Linked DNA regions of Cricetulus griseus. The protein of the gene in region 2 purifies or fractionates together with the protein of the main gene of each other region. This does not show direct contact. Links are inferred from orthologs where the notes say so. Each region holds a gene or a part of one and is shown on either strand. Other genes may lie near its edges. The genes, in order: Rbbp4, Arid4a, Brms1 and Sin3a.

Region 1 (5,018 bases), on a different chromosome or scaffold from region 2:
AAATCCCAGACATTCAGCCTACGGTCAGTACCACTAGAAGCCAAAATAGTCTCGTTGTGAGGTGACCATTGAACCTATATCCAAGAGTCAACAAAGATGCAACCAATTAGAAATAGAAGGGGAAAATATCTCAAATTATATCCTACAAAACTTTGTAAATAAAAGGCAGTGAATACTGCTAAAACTTACAGATATTTCTCTCTTCACAGGGTTTCTCTATGGCTTTGGAGCCTGTCCTGGCACTTGCTTTATAGACCAGGCTGGCCTTGAACTCAGAGATCAGCCTGCCTTTGCTTCCCAGGTGCTGGGACTAAAGGCTTGCGCCACCACTGCCTGGACAGCTACTACTATACCCCAAAGATTCCTTATAATGATGTTAGGTAAAAGATAACCACACACACAAAACTATCACAAATCCTGTGGCTGTTAAGAAAGTGCTGGTTTGCTGGGTAGTGGTGGCACACACCTTTAATCCCAGCACTTTGAAAGCAGAGGCAGGAGGCTCCTTGTGAGTTCAAGGCCAGCCTGATCCACAGAATGAGTTTGCAGGACAGCTAGGACTGTTAAACAGAGATATCCTGACTTGAAGAAGAAGAAAAAAAGAAAGAAAAAAAAATGTTAGTTTATGGCATTATTGACTAATGGGTTAGGGAAGAATTTAGATATTCTTCAAGCAAGACCATCACTACCACTACCACCAAGAGAAAGGAAATAGGACAATGACAAAACAGTCTCAACACTTAGGCCATTTAGATGAGGATGACCTTTTGTGATTCTCCCTCTTCCCTTTGAATGCTGAGATTAGCAGTAGTTCTAATGACTGTAGGGTGGTCTCTTACTAGATAGATACCTCAGGTGACTGTCTTGCTTCAGGTACCCTTTATGCTGGGATCAGAGGCATGCATGGACATGTCTGGTATCACTATAAAATTTAAGAGAGGGATGTGCCTAGTTAAAAAGGACACACGGTAGCAAAAGTTCCTGCATGTCAGGCAAGAACTCCACTAACTGTGCTTCCTTTCCAGGTCCTCTGATTTGTAAGGATCTCTTTACACGGTATCTTTCTGCTGTAGCTTCCCAAGGGCTGGGATTATAGGTGTATACAGAATTGTCTGTAAAGAGGGAAAGAACAGGGCAGGCAACCTAGGTTTTTCTTACTTGGAATATTTCATCCTTATGTGACTCAAAGGAATGCAACTTGAGTTTCAGGTTTCTCAGATCCCACAAGGCAACAGTCTATGTACAAAAGAAAACGAAATCAAGATCAACTTATAAAGGAAAGCCTAAGGCCAGCAAGATGGTTCAGTGGATAAAGGCACTTGCTGCCAAACATGAGTTTGATCCCAGAATCCACACAGTGGAAGGAGTAAACAAACTCTGGCAAGTTGTCTTCTAACCCCCCACACAAACGTCATGGTGTATGTACCCCCATCCCTGCCAAATACATAGTTCAGTTTGTGTATATATACACACATGTACCATGACAACTGTGCAGAGATCAGAGGTCAACTTGTAGGAGAGGAGTTGGTAATCTCCTTTAGTCTTTCAGGTCTTGGGGACTGAATTCAGATCTTCAGGCTTGGCAGCCTGATAAAATTCTTAAAAAAATTTAAGACAAGAATACCTTTAAAACATTAACTAAAGGTCTCCGTACATTTCATTTAACATATGCTGAAGATGGCTCAGTAGTTAAGAGTCCAGAGGAACAGCTCAGCACCCATTTGGTGTCACACAAACATTTGTAACCCCAATCCCAGGGGATCTAACACCCCCTTCTGGTCTCAACAGGCACCAGACATGTACAGCATGTGCTCAAGACATACATGTGGGTGAAGTTCCTTTACCCATAAAATATAAAACTTCAACAACAAAAAATCCCAAACAAAGAAAACTGACCTTGTCAGCTGATCCTGTGGCAAGAATGAACTCACTGTAAGGATTGAAAGACAGGCAGTTCACTTCAGCAGTGTGAGCATCAACCGAGTGGCTTGGCTTGGAAGTATTGTTCGAACGAGTATCCCAGCTTCATTTAAAGAGAGAGAATAGGAAAGGAAGCTTGAAATGTGACTAATGCAAAACTCTGAAAATGTAATAAAAAATAAATTATGGAGTCCACTCACATCATAAGTTTCTGATCGTCAGCAACAGACCCAAACAGAGACTCGTGGAGCAGATGCCAGGAAACGTCCTCTACTACTGCTGTATGCCCTGTGAAGATGGTCTTTGCATCCACCACCTTTCCTTCTTTTGGAACTGCACTGATGTCCCACAGGCAGATGGTCTTAAATTTAAAATTAACCATTATATAAATGATTCTCACTTCCCCCCATCTCCCCAAAAAAGAAAGCAATTGGCAACAATTCCAGATTTGAACCAAAACTGCAAGGATACGCACATGGTCATCTGAAGCACTAAGTAAGTGCCCACTGAGATTTGGATTCCAAGAAAGACCATAACCTTCCTTCTGATGTCCACGGAGACGTAAATCTGGGTTGCATTCTCCAGAAGGGTCTGCAAAGTAACAGATATATCTAGAATATCCAGTTGATTGTCTCTCTGGGCTTATTAAGCAAAATTATGCCATAAATGCCTATTATACAAAATATAGACCCATCATGACCAACTATACAATGCTGAAGTTGCAAAATCATGATTTTCCTCTACATAAAAGCACTGCTTTGCTTAAGAAACATAAAATACCCACACATATCAATACAAATAAGATGTTAAATTATAAAAATATTTGAGTAAATGGAATCTGTATCTGATTAAAAGGGAGAGGTACCTGGTTTAGAAGGGTGCTTTGTGTAGTCAAAAACAAGCACATCACTGGATGGAGTCTTTGTTGCAATGATGCAAGGGTTCTGGGGCATGTATCGAGCCCTGTTTACTTCTCCTTCATGGTTGATCTTGATTTCTATTTCAATTTTCCCACTGACAGAGCCAAAACCTCCGAATTCTGTATTTATAAGCAAAAAGTACTTAATGAACCAAGTGGTATAACTAGAAGACAGAACCATCTGGAGAACAGAAGTGCTTTTTATACATTTATAACTACAGATAGATTAGAAATAAGTACTATATAGCCAACTGAAATGAAGACGGTATGAATACCAAACCTGGTGTGGTAGTGCACACCTTTAAATCTTGGTGCAGCCAGACCATTGTAGTTAGAGGCCAGCCTGGTCTGCACAGTGAGCCTTAAGTGTTATGCTACTAGTGTGAGATCCTGTGTGTGTGTGTGTATACTACTCAACTACTCAACCTTGTGAGTCAATCTTTTTGCTTGTTCTCCAGGCAGGCTGTGACCACACATCTCAGACGGGCCCTCAATTCACTATGCAGAGGTTCGCTGTCCTTTCTTCTTTCTCTCACACCTTCACAGAATCTCATTCTATAGCCTAGCTTAGGCAATTCTCCTGACCGGAGTGCCAAGATCAAAAGTTTGATGATCACCATTCCTTGCTAAAAGCTTGTTCTTGGCAGTTTTCAAATCTCATTTGACCTAAAAATAACTCAGCAGTTAACAGTACTGGATGCTCTCCTGGTCACGAGTTCAAGTCCCAGCAACCACACAATATTGGTTAAGGTGGCTTACAATCACCTATATAATGGGATCTGGTGCCCTCTTCTGGCATAAAGGTGTGCATGCAGACAGAGAACTCATATACATAATAAACCTAACAAACAAACAAACAAATAAAAAAACCCTTAAAAATTAAATGTATTTTATATGTGAATTGGTGCGAAGGTGTCAGATCCCTTGAAACTTCAGTTACAGACAGTTGTGACCTGCAATGTGAGTGCTGGGAATCAAACCTGGGTCCTCTAGAAGAGAAGCTAGCACTCTGAGCTATCTCTCCAGCCCCAAAAGAAACCCTATTTAAAAGGCTAAGTCAGAGGCAGGTGGATCTATGAGTTCAAGGCCAGCCTAGTTTACAAAGCAAGTTCCAGGGCTATTACATAGAGAAATGCTATCTTCAAAAACAAAAGGCTAAGTTAAGAGGATCACCAGGAGTGCAAAGCTAGTCTTGACTTCTTAAAGGGAATTTCAAGGAGGCCTAGACTACAGAGACCCCGTCTAAAAACAAAACAAAACAAAAAACCCAAAGTCACACCCCGACCCCCAATCAACCAACGAAACTACCACCACCAACAAAACATTTCCAGTACCCCAGTAGGAACACGTGTATCTTTCTTAACCAATATGCTTACCCAAAGCTCCCTTACCCCAATTTCTAACACCTGAGTCACTTTTCTAGGCCATAAATCCTGTGGAATTTCTAAGAAAGTATTTTAACAGTACAAGCCAAGAAACCAAATTTTCATTTTCATTTCATTGTGGTGTGTGTTCGTTCCAGACAGGGTTTCTTCGTGTATGAACTCACGAAATCCACCTGCCTGCATTTCATTTTTTTAGGTTAGAAATGATTTATAAACAAAAACCAAACCTTTTGTCTTCGTGATGCTGGACATGACGCCCAGGGTCTTGCAGATGCTAGACAAGTGTTCTACCACTGAGACACAAGCCAATACCCAAGAAACTCAGACATCAGACATAAGTGTACCCATCATTGATGAAATCAACTAAAGTCACCATTCCGCCATGGGGTTACCAAGCCTATCCACTTATAGGTAAAGGAGTAAAAGGAAAACAAGGTGTGTAACCCTGGGGTAGTGTGATAGTCAAATTCAAAAATCTATAGCTGTGATCCACATTACTGTTTTGTTTTTTACTATTTCTGGGGAGAGAGAAGCCATTTTGAGACAGTTCAGTCAGGATCTTAATATGCAGACCACGATGGCCTTGAACCTGTGACAATCCTTCCCCATACGGCACTATGGCACACACCTACACCAACACACAAAACCAAACTGTAGTCAGAAGCAGCAGTTCAGTCATAGAGAGCATACTGTCCCAACTCCCCAAAGCAAGAGAAACATTCAGGGAATAGGACTCGATTCTAATCACATACACAGCAGCAAAATAGACAGATCAAAGTTTATCAGTTAAAGTA
Region 2 (5,018 bases):
CTGTAGTTTTTCTTGGAGAAAAGAGATTTTCTCTGTACTGTTCATATTATCTAATTCATCTAAAAGGAAAGATAAAGTTAATCTCAATTTTAAAACAGTAATTCCATAAGAAAATAAGAAGGCAATTCCATAAAAAGTTTAACTTACAAATCAATAAAAGCTGTAGTATGACCTAAGACAAGCTCTTTACAGAATTTATGATTAAATTAAATCAATGATTAAGAGTTTTTTTTTAGCCCAATATTCTATATTAAACAACTATTACTCTGGGGGCTAAAGAGAGGCTGAATGGTTAAAAGCACTGGCTACTCTTCCAGAGGACCCAGGTTCAATTCCCAGCACCCATATGTCTGCTGGGATTATGTTTTGTTTCTTAACTGAAGATTTTGTCAAGTTAGCATTATCCAAATTAAAAAAAAAAAGAAACAAACAAAAGAAAAGCAGTTTACATACAGTGATGATTACTGATTTGGAATGGCTATAACATTATTCCAAATGGACATTTTAGAAATGTTACACTTTACAATACCCATTCAAGCTATCTGAAAGATTCTTACTGAGTTGCAAGCTCCACTTATATGTCCTAGGGGATGAATTCGGGTGCTTTTCTCTGTGCTTCTCTTTCTCTCCATCTTTGATGTGAGGTGAGGTCCTTGCAGGGGAGCGAGCCAGCTTCTGCGGCTTGGACAGGCTCAGATGTTTGACTGGCGTGCATTTGCTTGAACTGTCCATGGCAGGGAGATCTTCACTGTCACTGCTTTGTCCTGTAATAGGTTTACTACAATTATAAATGATGAAAAGCCTCAAATATCAAAATGCAGCAGAAGCAGTAACACTTCCTGGAATCACACAGATAAACATATCTATCAAGGATTACAACAGAAAAAAGGGGGAAATAGGCTTTTTGGCCTCAGTGGTGGCAGAAGCACATGTCAGAATAACATCATTCTTTGGAAAGTGTCAAAGGAAGATACACACATGGCACTGCCGTGACTCTGAGCCCTACCACTTTCAGAAGTCCACCTGTGTGGACTTGAGTGTTTACTTTGATTACCCTAAGGTGGTATCTTCTGGATTTATAATCTGTAAAATTATGCATATCCCCTTGGTCATTTCTTTTTTTTTTTTTAAAGATTTTATTTATTATGTATACAACATTTTGCTTCCATGTATATCTGCACACCAGAAAAGGGCACCAGATCTTATAATGGATGGTTGTGAGCCACCATGTGGTTGCTGGGAATTGAACTCAGGACTTCTGGAAGAGCAGTCAGTGCTCTTAACCGCTGAGGCATCTCTCCAGCCCCCCTTTGTAATTTCTAATCCACTCTTTCCTCCTATCACTCTCTTCCTTAAGTCAGAATCATGCAGCTGTAAGTCACATCTGACTACTAAAAATCTGAAACAGTCTCAAGTCCTTTGAGATGTTTGCTACTGTGTAAACTCCACAGTCCTTTTGTTAGGATATGAGCTGTTTGTTTTACTGAGGGCATGATCTAGCAACAAACTTGTCAAAAATCAATCATATTTAATTGATTTATTATGATTGATTTATTTATTTAATTGACTATTTAACTATTCATACTGAGTTTGCTTTTCATGTAATCTAATCCATTCATACCTATATATTATTTTATTTCATTTGATAAGAATTAACTTTTCAGGATGAAGAGATGGCTCAGTAGTTACAAGCACTTACTGCTCTTGCTGAGGACCCAGGTTCAAGCACCTACATGGTACCTCACAACCACCTGCAACTCCAGATCCAGGGAATCTGCCTCTTCTGAGTTCTTTGAGTACCAGGCAGGGGTATAATACATCAACATACATGTAGTCAAAATATTCACATACATAAAATAAAATAAATATTTTTACTATTTATAAATCAGCACTTCTGGCTCAGTAGAAATATAAGTTTTGCATACTTTCTTTCCTTTCTTGTTTTTTTCTTTTTTGTTTGTTTGTTTTTTGTTTTTTGTTTTTTGTTTTTTTGTTTTTTTGTTTTTTTTTTTTTTTGAGACACGGTTTCTCTGTAGCTTTGGAGTCTATCCTGGAACTCACTCTGTAGACCAGGCTAGCCTGAAACTCACAGAGATCGCCTGCCTTTGCCTCCAGAGTGCTGGGATAAAGGCGTGTGCCACCATTGCCCGGCTAGTTTTGCATACTTTTAACACCACAACAAATGTTATTTTTCTTTTCTTCAAGACCCTAAAGTCTTTCTAATATTTAATTGCTTTTCCTGAAATAATAATTTTAGCTATCCTAGTTCTAAATAAGACTAATAGGTATCTTCGGATTAAAATGGACAGATGGTGAATGACGCAGTGGGGAAGAATCCCTGCCATGCAAGCCTAAAGATCTGAGTTTGAGCCCTGGAACCCACATAAAGATGGAAGGAAAGAACTGACTCCACATAATTGTCCTGTGATGTCCACATACGCTTAGTGGCATGTCTGTGCACTTGTATGCATGCATGCATGCGCACAAGCACACACATACACATACCCCCCAAAAATGGAAAAATTATTTTCAGAACATAATAAACCCTGCTCATTTTTGGACTCCTCAAATGAACAAGCCACGCCTCTGCTGCTGTGTGAATACCAGCACTGGTAAACACTGACCTGTTGTCCCATTCTTTTCACTCTTGGTTCCAGCACTCGTTCGCTTTGGGGTTCGCTTTTGCTTTTTTGCCATCAACCCACTACTTCCATCGCTTGGCCTCTTTTGACCTGAAATAAAGGAAAAGAAAAACCATGAAAACAAAACCAAAAGCTGGAAGCAGACAGGTCCATTTACGTACCTGTCCACATCATTTCTCTATTTTTTAAAAAAGACAACAGTGAGCATCTGTCATATCAAAAACCTGAATTGTTGGTTTTAACACAAAAGCAATCACCCCCTAGAATGTCTTACCCTTCTCTCTGCTCTCTCTCTCTTGTACAATTATACCACAGGTACCAGGGGCAACACTGGCTTCAAACCCGTTCGCTGACTCCCTTTCGCAGAGGCCTTCCTGTGACTCTTCGGCAATGCTATCGACTTCAATTGTTATATCGCTCTCACTCTTGACACTCCGGGACTCGTCTTGACTGAGAGTTAGAGGGGAAGCTACTGAAAAGTTATGCTGTGCTACGGGAGGTAGGGCAGTCGGAACAGAAACCACAGAGTTAGACTCAGAGTTTTCAACTACCACATCCTCAATACTGGTCTTTTCCTTTTCGTCCAGATCATCCAAGTCTACCTCATGGCAAACCAAGGTTTCAGGCCCAATCAGGGGCATCACGTCTTCCTCCTCTTTGAGTGGTGTATGTACAGGTTCTTCAGCTGGACTGTCCAGTTTTTCACTAGGTGGTTCTTGGATGCCCTGGTTTGGCTCTGCTATCAATGATGGCATCCCTTCATTTTCTGTTTCAAAGTGCTGCTCGAAATGTAACCCTTTCCTGCCCTCGGCTCCAGCGCCATCGCTGGGCCTGTCTTGGGACACACCAGCTGTCACTTCCATCCCATTCTCAAGTCTTACTTTCTTCTCTGGTGATGGCTGTCCCAGTATTTTCCGTTTCAACTTTTTTTCTCTCTCATATTGGTCCCCTTCATCTTCAGGAGAAGAAACGGTTTTGCATTCTAGTATGGAAAGCTCCAGGCTCTGAGTGTCTGCATGAGCATCACTGCCTGCTTCGTCCTGGCCGAGGGATGACATCTTTATTACCTCTGAAGAAAGGTCTTTCGTCTTACTCCTCCTTCCCTTCCCTTTTGGGGACTTTTCCACCTGCTTCTTAATTTCTTCTACTTGCTCTACTTTGTTTCCAAAAATATGTACTATTTGATCATTGTCTTCGACCTCTACCTTCAGGGTCTCTAAGGGCTGCATCTGAGTCCTGTCATTTTCTTTTAATAGATGTGCAATCTTTGGGCTTTCTTCATCTAGTTTATCATCATTTACATTTTCACTTTTTTCTAACTCTTCCTTAATATCAGGAGAAAGTTCTTCATTTATCAAGCTCTTCTCCAAAGGGTCTTCTGTTTCACTATCAGATGAACAAGAGTCTGCAAGGAGACAGTACAATGCACAGATGGTTATATTAAATGCTAATGTAATAATTAGAATCCTACTAAATATGAGCAAAACTCTTTATAGACTTCTGAATTTTTCTATAGGAATTTCTCATATAAAATAAGGCTAAAATGTAAGAGGAAAGACTAAAATTAAAACGTGATGAAAGAGGGCATGTGGTGTGAACATTTAATCCCAGTGCTCAGGGGGCAGAGGCAGGCAGATCTCTGAGTTCTAGGCCAGCCTGGTTTACAGAACTTTCCTAAGGAACACTGCTCAAGATTGCCCATTGGACTCTGAACACATGTGCACTCCTTCCTTCATAAACATGTATACATGTGTTACACACAAACTATAAAAACAAAATGTGTAAAAATATAATAAGCAGCATGTTACCATGTCAGTTCTGTATGAAGAGCTGTCTTCAGCAACAACACATTTAGGCTACGGTACCACTTAGAAAAAAACAGAAGAGCTGGGTGTAGTGGCACAGGCCTTTAACCTCAGCACTCTGGAGGCAGAGATGGGCAGATCCCTGAGGCCAGCCTGGTCTACAGCGTGAGTTCCAGGACAGCCAAGGCTACACAGAGAAAGCCTGTCTCAAAAACTAAACAAACAAAACAGAACAAAAAAAAATACAAGCTAGTATGTCAAGTGACTTGACCTGACTTAATACAAAGGTTTACCACTTTGTCCCCTAAGAAGGGATGTTTAAAATGAGCGATGTGAATTCTCCAAACTTCAAATGTTCTTATTAACACACAAGAAAATACAAGCAAGCCACCTGCTTGCAAGACAAATTATTCACTTTATGTCAGAGAATTTTTCAAATAGTAAGGTAGCATTCTCAGAGCATATATACATAATATAAAATATATGTATTATATGCATATATACATAATATAAAAATTTATGCTCTTACAACACATGCCCTCCTTAGAGAATTTTTAAAAGGCAAACACTG
Region 3 (4,526 bases), on a different chromosome or scaffold from region 2:
CGGATCCAGAGGCTGGAGGAGGACCGCCAGAGCCTAGACATCAGCTCTGGTGAGGCGAGGGCCCAATCCTGCAGTACCTCCCCACCCCTGGAGCTCAGCTTCCCAGGCTGCATAAGGGGAGTCAAACAGCCCACTTTTTAGGATCCCTGTGAGGACTGAATGAGTCTTCAGGAAAGGGTCTAGCTCAGTATTCCACATATAGTTGGGACTCAAGCAGATTGGCACCCTTGCCTGTCCCCATTCAGAGTGGGGGTTATCCAGCTGACACATGGATGCATATAAAAACCATAGTCCTCTCCATGATGGTGGCATCTGCATTCACATGGGGTCCAGGAATTACCTTCATCCTGTCTACTAAGCAAATGGAAAAACTGGGGCTTAACCACGAAGGGCAGTGTCATCTCATCTTTGCCGGCTTGCACCAAATGCAGTAAGGACCTCAGTGGTCCCAAGAGGTCACCAGCCTCAAGCCCAAGGTTGGGGCCACTGCCCTGGTGGTGATGGGGAAGGGAGGGGAGGCCAGGCTGGTCCATGGTAAAACCACAGGGATAGTGGGAGTTACCTGTGGGTCACTGTCCTGATCCTGACTCTGAGTCTCTGGGCACAGAGTGGTGGGATGACAAACTACACGCCAGAGGCAGCTCAAAGACCTGGGACTCATTGCCACCCAGCAAGAGGAAGAAGGCACCTCTCGTTTCTGGTATCCTTCCACTCAAAGTCCCCTGAAACTGGGCAGGACAAGGCAGGCCCTGGACTCAGGGAAGTTAGAGGGATTGTGTGGGACAGAGTCAAACTAGAATCATTTATGGTCATTTGGTGTCACCTGAAATGTCCAGTTGTCAGGATTTTCTTCTGTGTCCTATGTCCTCTTGAGCTCAGTGGACCCCAAAGAAACAGAAAACTCAGCTCACTGACTCATAGTAATTTCCTGAGAAAGGATCAGCCTTTGGAGCCTTGTGGCTTTCCCTCAATGTCCTTATATTTGGTCAAACTCCATGCTCTCAGGCCTTGCTTGACCCTTCTGGAGCTATTGCTTGTCTGGGCAGGGGTGTCATGTCAGATGCTGTGTCCTCTGAGGTCTCTCCTGGTCCATAGCCCCCAGCCCTATACATGTGTTCTCTTCTGTATTGAACAGTGAGACAGGGGACTCACTGTCTTTGACTCTCATGTGCTGCACAGCATAGCACTGAGATCTTCCACATCCACAGTGTCAGCCCTGGGACCACCTCAGGATGGAGGTGGGATGGAGATTTTATTGAACCATTGTGGGTAAAGGTAAATTTCAGATCCATAGCATAGTGTGCTATCAGGAGGGAAGAGGCCACTATTTACATTTAGGTGAGGAAGGGTCCAATGAGCCAGTTCCTGACAGAGCCAGACAAAGCAGCAGGAGCAGGGCCCCTCAGGATAGGATGGGCCTTGGTCAGCTGATCTGGAAAAAAAAAAAATATGAGTGTGTGTGAAGGGAATGGGTAAGGTTTTGTGCCCACCACAATCCCCACACTCACCAAGAACTAGGGTCCCTGAGGCAGGAGGTGGAGCTTGGATTAAGCCCAGGGTCTTACTGAGTGTAAAGGCACACACCTTTAATCCCAGCACTCAGGAGGCAGAGGCAGGCAGCTCTCTGTGAGTTCCAGGCCAGCCAGGGCTACATAGAGACTGTGTCTCAAAAAATAAAAAGGCTCTTGTCACCCCCTCCACACTACCGATGTACCACCTCTCCTAAGCAGGAGACAGGTGGCACTGCCACCTGTGGCCATCCAGTGGAGCCTTGTCCCCTGTCTCCTGTTGTCATCTTTCTTCCTTGACCCCTGTGCAGGCCCATACATTGTATACATGCTGCAGGAGATCGACATTCTGGAAGACTGGACGGCTATCAAAAAGGTAGGTCTGCTGCTGCCTGTTTACCCATCCTGCTCTGCCACCCCCACCCCTCTCTCATACACTCATGACAGCTCTGGTATCTGAGGGTATTTAGGGAGTTTTCTGCCTGCCCCTCAGCAATATCTGCCTCAGCCCTGGTACCAACTTTGTGGTAGCTTATTTGTAGTCCTCCTAGACTGACCTGAGGAAGGAAAAGGATGTGTTCTGGTTAGCCGTTGGTCCAGACAGGTTTTTTTTTTGTTGTTTTTTTTTGTTTGTTTGTTTTTTGTTTTTTTTTTGTTTTTTTTTTTTTCTTCCCTGAGACAGGGTTTCTCTGTGTAGCTTTGGAGCCTATCCTGGCACTCGCTCTGGAGACCAGGCTGGCCTCAAACTCACAGAGATGCGCCTGCCTCTGCCTCCTGAGTGCTGGGATTAAAGGTGTGCGCTACCAACGCCCGGCCAATCCAGACAGTTTTGATGAACAAGAGAAAAGCTGCCCCTGAGAGAGCTTGGTGTAGGGAGTTTTTTATATTTCATGCAATTTGACTCAGCAGCTTTCACCCTTGGTGTAGAGGGGGCAGTGTCAACAAGTTAAAGTAGACTCTAAAGGCCCCTGTCTTCTCTACACCCAGGCCAGGGCAGCAGTGTCTCCTCAGAAGAGAAAACCAGATGGTAAGAACCAAAGAGGTGGCCCTGTCAGAATCCATAGCTTGATCTCACTTTGAGGATTTTGTGGGAGTTTGGGGAATAGGAACCAGATTGGCAAGGACTTGTAAAGGTAAAATGGAGGGCCCAGTGGTAGAGTGCTTGCCTAGCATGGGTAAGCCTCTGGTCCCAAGTTCAGCACCACAGAGAGATAAAGGTGGACTGGAGCTGGCCCGCAGCAGGGTGGGTCAGAGGGCAGGGAAAGGAAGCCCTGTGGGTGAGGGGAGTATGGTGTTTCCCCAGGGCCTCAGGCAGTGGTTGTTCTCTTTGATTCACCTTCCTTGTAGTGATTTTCCCATTGCCCCTAGGACCCTGACACTGCATTTCCACTCAGAGGGTCCTTGGAGCAGCTGGCACCACACACAGGACTAACATTTTTCTGCAAAGGCAGGGGGTTGCCTGGTAGTCCTCCAGTGTTACTGCTGTCCCCTGACCAACACTGGCCTGGGCTCCTCTGCTCTCCTTGGGATCTGCATAGCCGTGACCCTGAAGCTGACCTGGCCAAGCAAGACTCCGTTCCTGCCCCCCCCCCAAGAGTAACTTCCTTTATTGTCCCCCCAATAAAGATAGGCTTCATATGACAGCAGCAGCCCTCCCCACTGAGCCAGGAGCTGGGGAACTCTTGAGCCAGAAACATGTTGGGGTCTTGCCCCTCCTAGCTATCGCTGGAGATGGCATCTTCCCAGACTTTCTCAGGGCCATTCCTGGTGTCTGCCTCCCAGATTCTAAAGACTGGAATAAAACTCATCCTTGGACCTTGACCAGTGTGTGTCTGCTGTTCTCTTAAAAGGAATCAAGGCTTTATGGGGAACACCTGGGACAGACTCTTCTGGGGTCCCTGTTGTTCAGAACATTGTGACTTAGAAACGAGCCTGGGCCCAGAGCTGGAGTCTACACGTGGTGTGGCCCAGGCAAACAAATGAAGCACATGGCCTTGGATGAAGGCATGCCTGGAGGCCAGGTCATGTCTGCACCTGCCCCAGTCACTTGGCAGATTGGCAGGCAGGCTGGCAGGGCCTGTGTGTGGGAGGCAGCTAGCAGCAGCACCATGTGCTGACAACCTCACAGCCACACTCTCCCCTGGTTAGCATGAGTGTCAGAACCACCCCCAGAACCTCAGTTAAGCAAAGGGTTTAGTTTCCATGGAGACACAGCATCCTTTCTCCATAGCAACCTGAAATCACAAAACCCAAGTTAGGTTCAGGAATGAGTCATCTGTGACCAGTAGGGGGTGCTCTCCCACAAGGGTGACCCCCTCCAAGGCAGAAGCAGATGAGCAAGTGACCACAGACTTCTTGAGGTGACACAGGGGTGAGACTTGGGCCTGTGGGAACTTGGTCTGCCCTGTTTAACTCCTCCCTACCCAGCTGCATAGTGTGAGGTTCTATATGAGGAAACGCTGTGTGGAGGTGGTCCTCCCACAGCTGAGGCCCTAATAGTGACACTAACATAAAGGGGGCCCCTGCCATTCAAGGCTGGGCCCAGAATAGAAGTGGACACTGGCCACATGGAGTGGACATACAAGAGTTAACTGGCGGGGCGTGACAGGGTGAACCGCCTTCAGGAAGTGTTACTCACCGCTAGGAATGTGCCCGCCTGTGCCTTGGGGGTTGGATTCTCTTCCTGAGTCCCAGGAGAAGCTGAAGGAGCTCCTAGCCATGGAAGACCCTGGGGATACAGAAGCACACCCTTTGGGAACTGCCAACCTAAACTTTGTTCCTGGGCACCAACAGAAAGAAAAGTTAGTGAAGTTGGGAGGGCAACTGGGTGCAGGGGGTGAGGGCAGTGACAGGAAGGTCTGGCAAAGACAGATGGATAGGTGGGAAGCCCAGGACGGGGAAGAGGTGCTTGCCCAGACCCCTGCTCAGGTCTGCGTGTCTGCCCCCAGTCCATCTCCAGACCCTCTGTATGACACGCCTGACGCCAGCAGGGCACAGGCAGGCGGGGCCCAACAACCA
Region 4 (5,018 bases), on a different chromosome or scaffold from region 2:
GTTTTGTGTTTTTGTTGTTTTTCTGAGACAGGGTTTCTCTGTGTAGCTTTAGAGCCTGTTCTGGAACTACTTCTATAGACCAAGCTGGCCTCAAACTCACAGAAATACGCCTGCCTCTGCCTCCCAAGTGCTAGGATTAAAGGCATGCACACCTTTCATCTCAGCTCTTGAGAGAGAGGCAAGTAGATCTCTGAGTGAGGCTAGCCTGGTCTAAAAAAGTCAAGTACCAAATTCTAGATATACCCAGAGTTATACATAAAAATTCTGTCTCTAAAATGAAAAAGAAAAACAAAACAAAAAACAAAAAAAAGACTACACCAGCAGCATATTTTATTACTAACCATAGTGGAAACTAAGCACAATAATACCTATCTATAATTCTAGTCTTTAGGAGGCAAAGCTGAAAAGATGCAAATTCTAAGCCAGTTTGGGCCATATATTTTGATCCTATATCAAAACAGACAGAGACGTGATAGTGGTTACCCAATTTGAAACACAGGAATTGACCTTAACAATTTTTGTCTCTCTTCCAAATATTCATAGGTACTATGACAATGTGGCTTGATAAAAAAAATTAGTACCTTCTATATATTGAAGACTTGAGAGAATTGTATTTAAAATTCTATATTAGGGTGGAGTTTGTCACATGGAGGTTAACATGATTAGACAGATGATTAACTGTAAAAGCTCATTTAATTTTTTTTTATTTTTTAAAACTCAGGACTTTTAGAAAGCTTCTACTTCCTAAGACAGGCCGTATCACCTCTGACTCTTGGCTCCTAGAACTATTTACACTCCCAGTAAGTGTGCAGGGTAACAGGGATTACTAACACTCTTTAAGCTGAGGTCTAGATAAGAGGGTCTCCACAAAAAAAGAAAGGAAAAAAAGGGAGAGGCTCCACAAATACAAGATATTTGTTGGAAGAAGTGGGGGTCAGAAGGAGCAAACTTAAAGCAGAATGATAAATTAGGAAACTAGAGGAAGAACTAAGTGTAACAATGGGTCTTAGGTATAAGATGGTAGACCAGGAATCAAAAGCTATGATGGACTCTAGTCATGAAGCAAGAACCAGTAGCTCTCAGTGATTGTAGAGTCAAAGCCAGGCTGAACATTCAGACTAAAGTTGAGGAAGGTGTAGAATCCCCCAACTCACCTCATCATAGATGCTCTCAATCTCATTGAGTAAGCTCTTAGACCTCAAGACCTTGGTGTCATTCTGTTTGAAGTTAATGCCCTGGTGATCCAAAGACTTCAAGTAGTACTTCTCATTTTGCTCTCGCCACACCTTGTTAAAGCCTCTCTGAGCTTCTCGCCATTCTTCCTCTTTCATCTTCAACCTTGGCAAAGTAGGAAGAGATGTAAATAACAATGTAAGAATTTAGAGGGTTTAGAAATGGTAAATATGCCAGGTTATTTTATTTGATAAAAACCGAATCTATGCAAAATTTGGTCAATTGCTGGTACTTGAGATAATAACACTGATATTATCTAAATGAAGTTTTTTTTCCAGAGGGGGTTTGTTTTTCTAGACAAGACTTACTGTGAAGTCTTGGTCTGGAACATGCTATATAGAATACACAAGTCTCAAACTTACAGCAATTCTGCCTGCCACCTCCCCAATGCTGACATTATAGGCAAGAGGAACATCAGGCTTCCTTGAGTACTCAGAAAGTTGAGTGACACACACCTTTAATCCCAGCCCTTAGGAGGGAGAGACAGGTGGATCTTCACATATGTAAGACAAGCCTGGTCTACAAAAGAGTTTCAGAACAGCCAAAGCTACACAGAGAAACCCTGTCTTGTAAGACAAGGAAAAAAAAAGGAAAGGAGGAAGAGGAGTTTTATGAGGGAGTATAGAGTGGTTTCTGAGACAAGGCCTCACTTTGAAACATCGGATGACCTGGGATTTACAACTTACAGCAATCTTCCTGCCTCTGCCTCCCTAGTGTGAGGACTACATCTGGCTTCAATGAGTATACTTGAAAAGTGAGCTCTCCTTGGACAAATAAAGCAACGGTGAACTTGCTTCTATGTTACGACTCAGAATGTTTACTGAGCTAATAGAAATGCAAAGTCCAAGAGAAGGCATTTGGTGAGGGGTGAGCATTGCAAGTTCAACAGCCAGTCTGGACAGTATAGTGAGACCTATTCCAAAACAAAGTTCACACACACCACACAGACACAGACACATGTTGAGACATGGTAAAGCATTTGCCTACCAAGCATGTTACACAAATGGTCCCAAGTTCAATCCCCTCTTCTGAGAAAAAAACTGAAACACAACCTCAAACATAAATTCAAAGCAGGCTATCATACACCAACTCAATTATTCTCTCTCTGTGGCAAGGAAATTGAGCTCAAGGGTTAGGCATGTTACAAAAGCACACTACCACTGAGTGGTAGTCCTTCAACCACTATGGCATACAAAACCCTAAACTAAGTTCTGTCATTTTACTCTGTCTCAAAAGTCTAACAACCAAGAAGAGAGAACTGGAATTCTGATTAGAGAACCACACAGAACCTGTCACAAAGCGTACAAAAGCCAGAAGATACACACCTTTTAAGGACAATTGGAACAGCAATGGAGGGGTTCTTCCTCAGACCGTCTATGATATCAGCTGCTTTATCAGCATATATCCTCTGGAGTGCTTTCCGATGGATGACTTCTGACGTGCCGCCAAGGGTATTATCCAGGCGAAATTTAGCTTGCTCTTCAGCAGACAAGCGGGAAAGTTTTTTCTGTATTGCTTCCAGAACCCGGATTGTTGCAAGATTGGTCTCTAAAACTACATCAAGCTTAAAACAAAACAAAACAAAAAAGAAGGTACTCAGGCCAGAAACCAGAATACAGTAGTTATGAGAATAAGGAGCGTGTCAAATTCCTCAGGATTGGAGTCCTGTATAGTTCCTATACAAGCCATGTAAGGCTCTCCATCAGTAACATATGAACAATGGCATATACTACTTTCATGAGGTTGTTTTCTGGAAGAAATGCCATATGCATAAGTCATAAAGCACACGAACTTCTCGGCAGCCACCACTGTCACACACTGCTTGGCACTGCCAAACACAGGCCAGGGGGACTAAGAAGGCTAGTATACTGATGCATTTCCTTATACTTTTGTTTGTACTTAGACACAGTTTTAATTATGGATGACCTAGAACATAACATGCTCTGTAGACCAGACTGGTCTTCGACTGTGGTAAGTTCTTGCCTCTGGCACCTAACGCTGGGATTACAAATGTGAGCCGCAATATCTGGCCTATCAACTTTTCTCACTTGAGCAAACACATTACAAATAGTAAGAAAACAATCCAAAGACAGCTGTGGGACTAAAGGGTATAGGAGTCTTAACTTAAATGTCTAAAACATTTAAATATTAAATTACTGCTTCACACCCAATGGCAACAAATTCAGGATTATTATCCTTTCCTTTTGAAAAAGAGTATCAAGTAGCCAGACTGGCGTCCAACGGGTCTATGCACCCAAGAAGGACCAAGAATTCTAAACTCCTTCAGCCTTCCCCTCGCCAGGGATTATAGGTACACTACATTACCCAACTCGAAAAATGTTCTTCACCTTGATTAGAAGCTGGGTATGGCGGCACTCACATTAATCCCAGCACTCAGGAGGCGGAGGCAGAGGCAGAGGCAGATGGATCTCTGAGATCAAGGCAGCCTGGTCTACATAGAGTTCCAGGATAGCCAAGGCTACACAGAGCCCTGTTGCAAAAACAGGAAAAACAAAAAAAACAAAACAAACAAACAAACAACTACCCATAGAAATTAACACTTAATACAATTTAGTTTTCTGCAATAACTAATCAGGCCATTAATTCTAGAGGAGTGGTGGTTTGAATGAGGATGGCCCCAATAGGCTCATATATTTAAATTCTTAATCCCTAGCTCAGAAAACTGTCTGGGAAGGGAAAGAAGGTGTGGTTTCACTGGAGGAGGTCTATCACTAGGGGGTGGGCCTGTAGATTTCAAAAGACTAGTATGATTCTCAAGGCATTCTTCTCTGCCTCCTGGTTAAGGATCAAGATGTGAGCTCTCAGATAGTTCTTCTCTGTACCACATGAACTCCCATCTCAAACTTTAAACCAAGTCAATTCTTTTATAAGTTGTCTTGATAATGAGATTTATCACAATTATAGAACGGTAACAGAGATGGGGAAAAGATGGCAACCACCAGTCAGTGAGGAGACAGCATGTGATTCTTCTGAAGAGGAATGTTGTATGAGATCTCTCCCACTGATTTGAAGAAGCAGACCCAGTCAACACAGTGTAATGAACATACTAAGTCAAACACATATATGCAAAATACAATTGACTCCCTTTGGTGTGGTATTAGTAAACATCATCTGAATACTGGAGATGTTTGAGTCTAGTTTCAGAAATTCCCTTCCTGCAATAAGGGATATCTCTACCAGCTGATTCATTCATTCTAGATCTTCCCATCCCAGCCATCCCCTTTAAAATGTAACTCTTACAGGCACTAGGGCACTTTTTTTTTTAAGCTGCCTCACACAGAGTATTTAAATACCCCTTCATTTCACATCTTCCTTGTTCCCCAAACTTCAAATCACAAAGGAGGATACCTCAAATCGTTCATCTTCACAACGATAAATATGTTCTTCATACTGAGTCTTCTTGGAACTAACAAAAGTGGAATCTTCAGACCATGATGGGAAGGAAACCCAGGTATCATTTAAAACCTTTGGGTAGAAAAAGAGGCAGAAAAGCTTGTTAAAACTTACTGGTAATTAAACATTCTCAATAAAAAGACAATACTATAGAGAGGAAAAAATATTTGGTGTCCTGGTTAGTTTTTTTGTAGCTTGACACAAGCTAGAGTTAGTTGAAAGGAGGGAACCTCAATTGAGAAATTGCCTCCATAAGGTCAGACTATAAGATCGGAAAAATTTTTAAATTTTTCAATTTTTTTTAAAGATTTATTTATTTAATTACATGCCCTATCTGCACATACTCCTTTATGCCAGAAGAGGGCATCAGA

The links.
Region 1: the proteins of Arid4a (region 2) and Rbbp4 purify together in Homo sapiens (co-immunoprecipitation; 4 studies listed by BioGRID and IntAct, with this or other methods). This does not show direct contact. The link is inferred for Cricetulus griseus from reciprocal best matches to the Homo sapiens genes ARID4A and RBBP4.
Region 3: the proteins of Arid4a (region 2) and Brms1 purify together in Homo sapiens (affinity purification with western blotting; 3 studies listed by BioGRID and IntAct, with this or other methods). This does not show direct contact. The link is inferred for Cricetulus griseus from reciprocal best matches to the Homo sapiens genes ARID4A and BRMS1.
Region 4: the proteins of Arid4a (region 2) and Sin3a purify together in Homo sapiens (affinity purification with western blotting; 6 studies listed by BioGRID and IntAct, with this or other methods). This does not show direct contact. The link is inferred for Cricetulus griseus from reciprocal best matches to the Homo sapiens genes ARID4A and SIN3A.

The regions. Positions count from the first base shown.
Region 1 is NC_048595.1:23,710,627-23,715,644, reverse strand, and holds part of Rbbp4 (histone-binding protein RBBP4), read right to left. Parts: intron 2,960-5,018; coding exon 2,786-2,959; intron 2,512-2,785; coding exon 2,396-2,511; intron 2,282-2,395; coding exon 2,121-2,281; intron 2,024-2,120; coding exon 1,897-2,023; intron 1,237-1,896; coding exon 1,159-1,236; intron 75-1,158; coding exon 1-74. UniProt on the Homo sapiens protein: Core histone-binding subunit that may target chromatin assembly factors, chromatin remodeling factors and histone deacetylases to their histone substrates in a manner that is regulated by nucleosomal DNA.
Region 2 is NC_048598.1:132,312,169-132,317,186, forward strand, and holds part of Arid4a (AT-rich interactive domain-containing protein 4A), read right to left. Parts: intron 4,048-5,018; coding exon 2,917-4,047; intron 2,733-2,916; coding exon 2,625-2,732; intron 765-2,624; coding exon 558-764; intron 60-557; coding exon 1-59.
Region 3 is NC_048596.1:54,236,909-54,241,434, reverse strand, and holds the end of Brms1 (breast cancer metastasis-suppressor 1), read left to right. Parts: coding exon 1-49; intron 50-607; coding exon 608-700; intron 701-1,819; coding exon 1,820-1,884; intron 1,885-2,495; coding exon 2,496-2,535; intron 2,536-2,876; coding exon 2,877-2,884; 3' UTR 2,885-3,329; downstream 3,330-4,526. Other genes in the region: Rin1 (ras and Rab interactor 1), read left to right, coding at 4,155-4,309, 4,457-4,526. UniProt on the Homo sapiens protein: Transcriptional repressor. Down-regulates transcription activation by NF-kappa-B by promoting the deacetylation of RELA at 'Lys-310'. Promotes HDAC1 binding to promoter regions.
Region 4 is NC_048597.1:168,630,505-168,635,522, reverse strand, and holds part of Sin3a (paired amphipathic helix protein Sin3a), read right to left. Parts: intron 4,720-5,018; coding exon 4,603-4,719; intron 2,798-4,602; coding exon 2,559-2,797; intron 1,339-2,558; coding exon 1,155-1,338; intron 1-1,154. UniProt on the Homo sapiens protein: Acts as a transcriptional repressor. Corepressor for REST. Interacts with MXI1 to repress MYC responsive genes and antagonize MYC oncogenic activities. Also interacts with MXD1-MAX heterodimers to repress transcription by tethering SIN3A to DNA.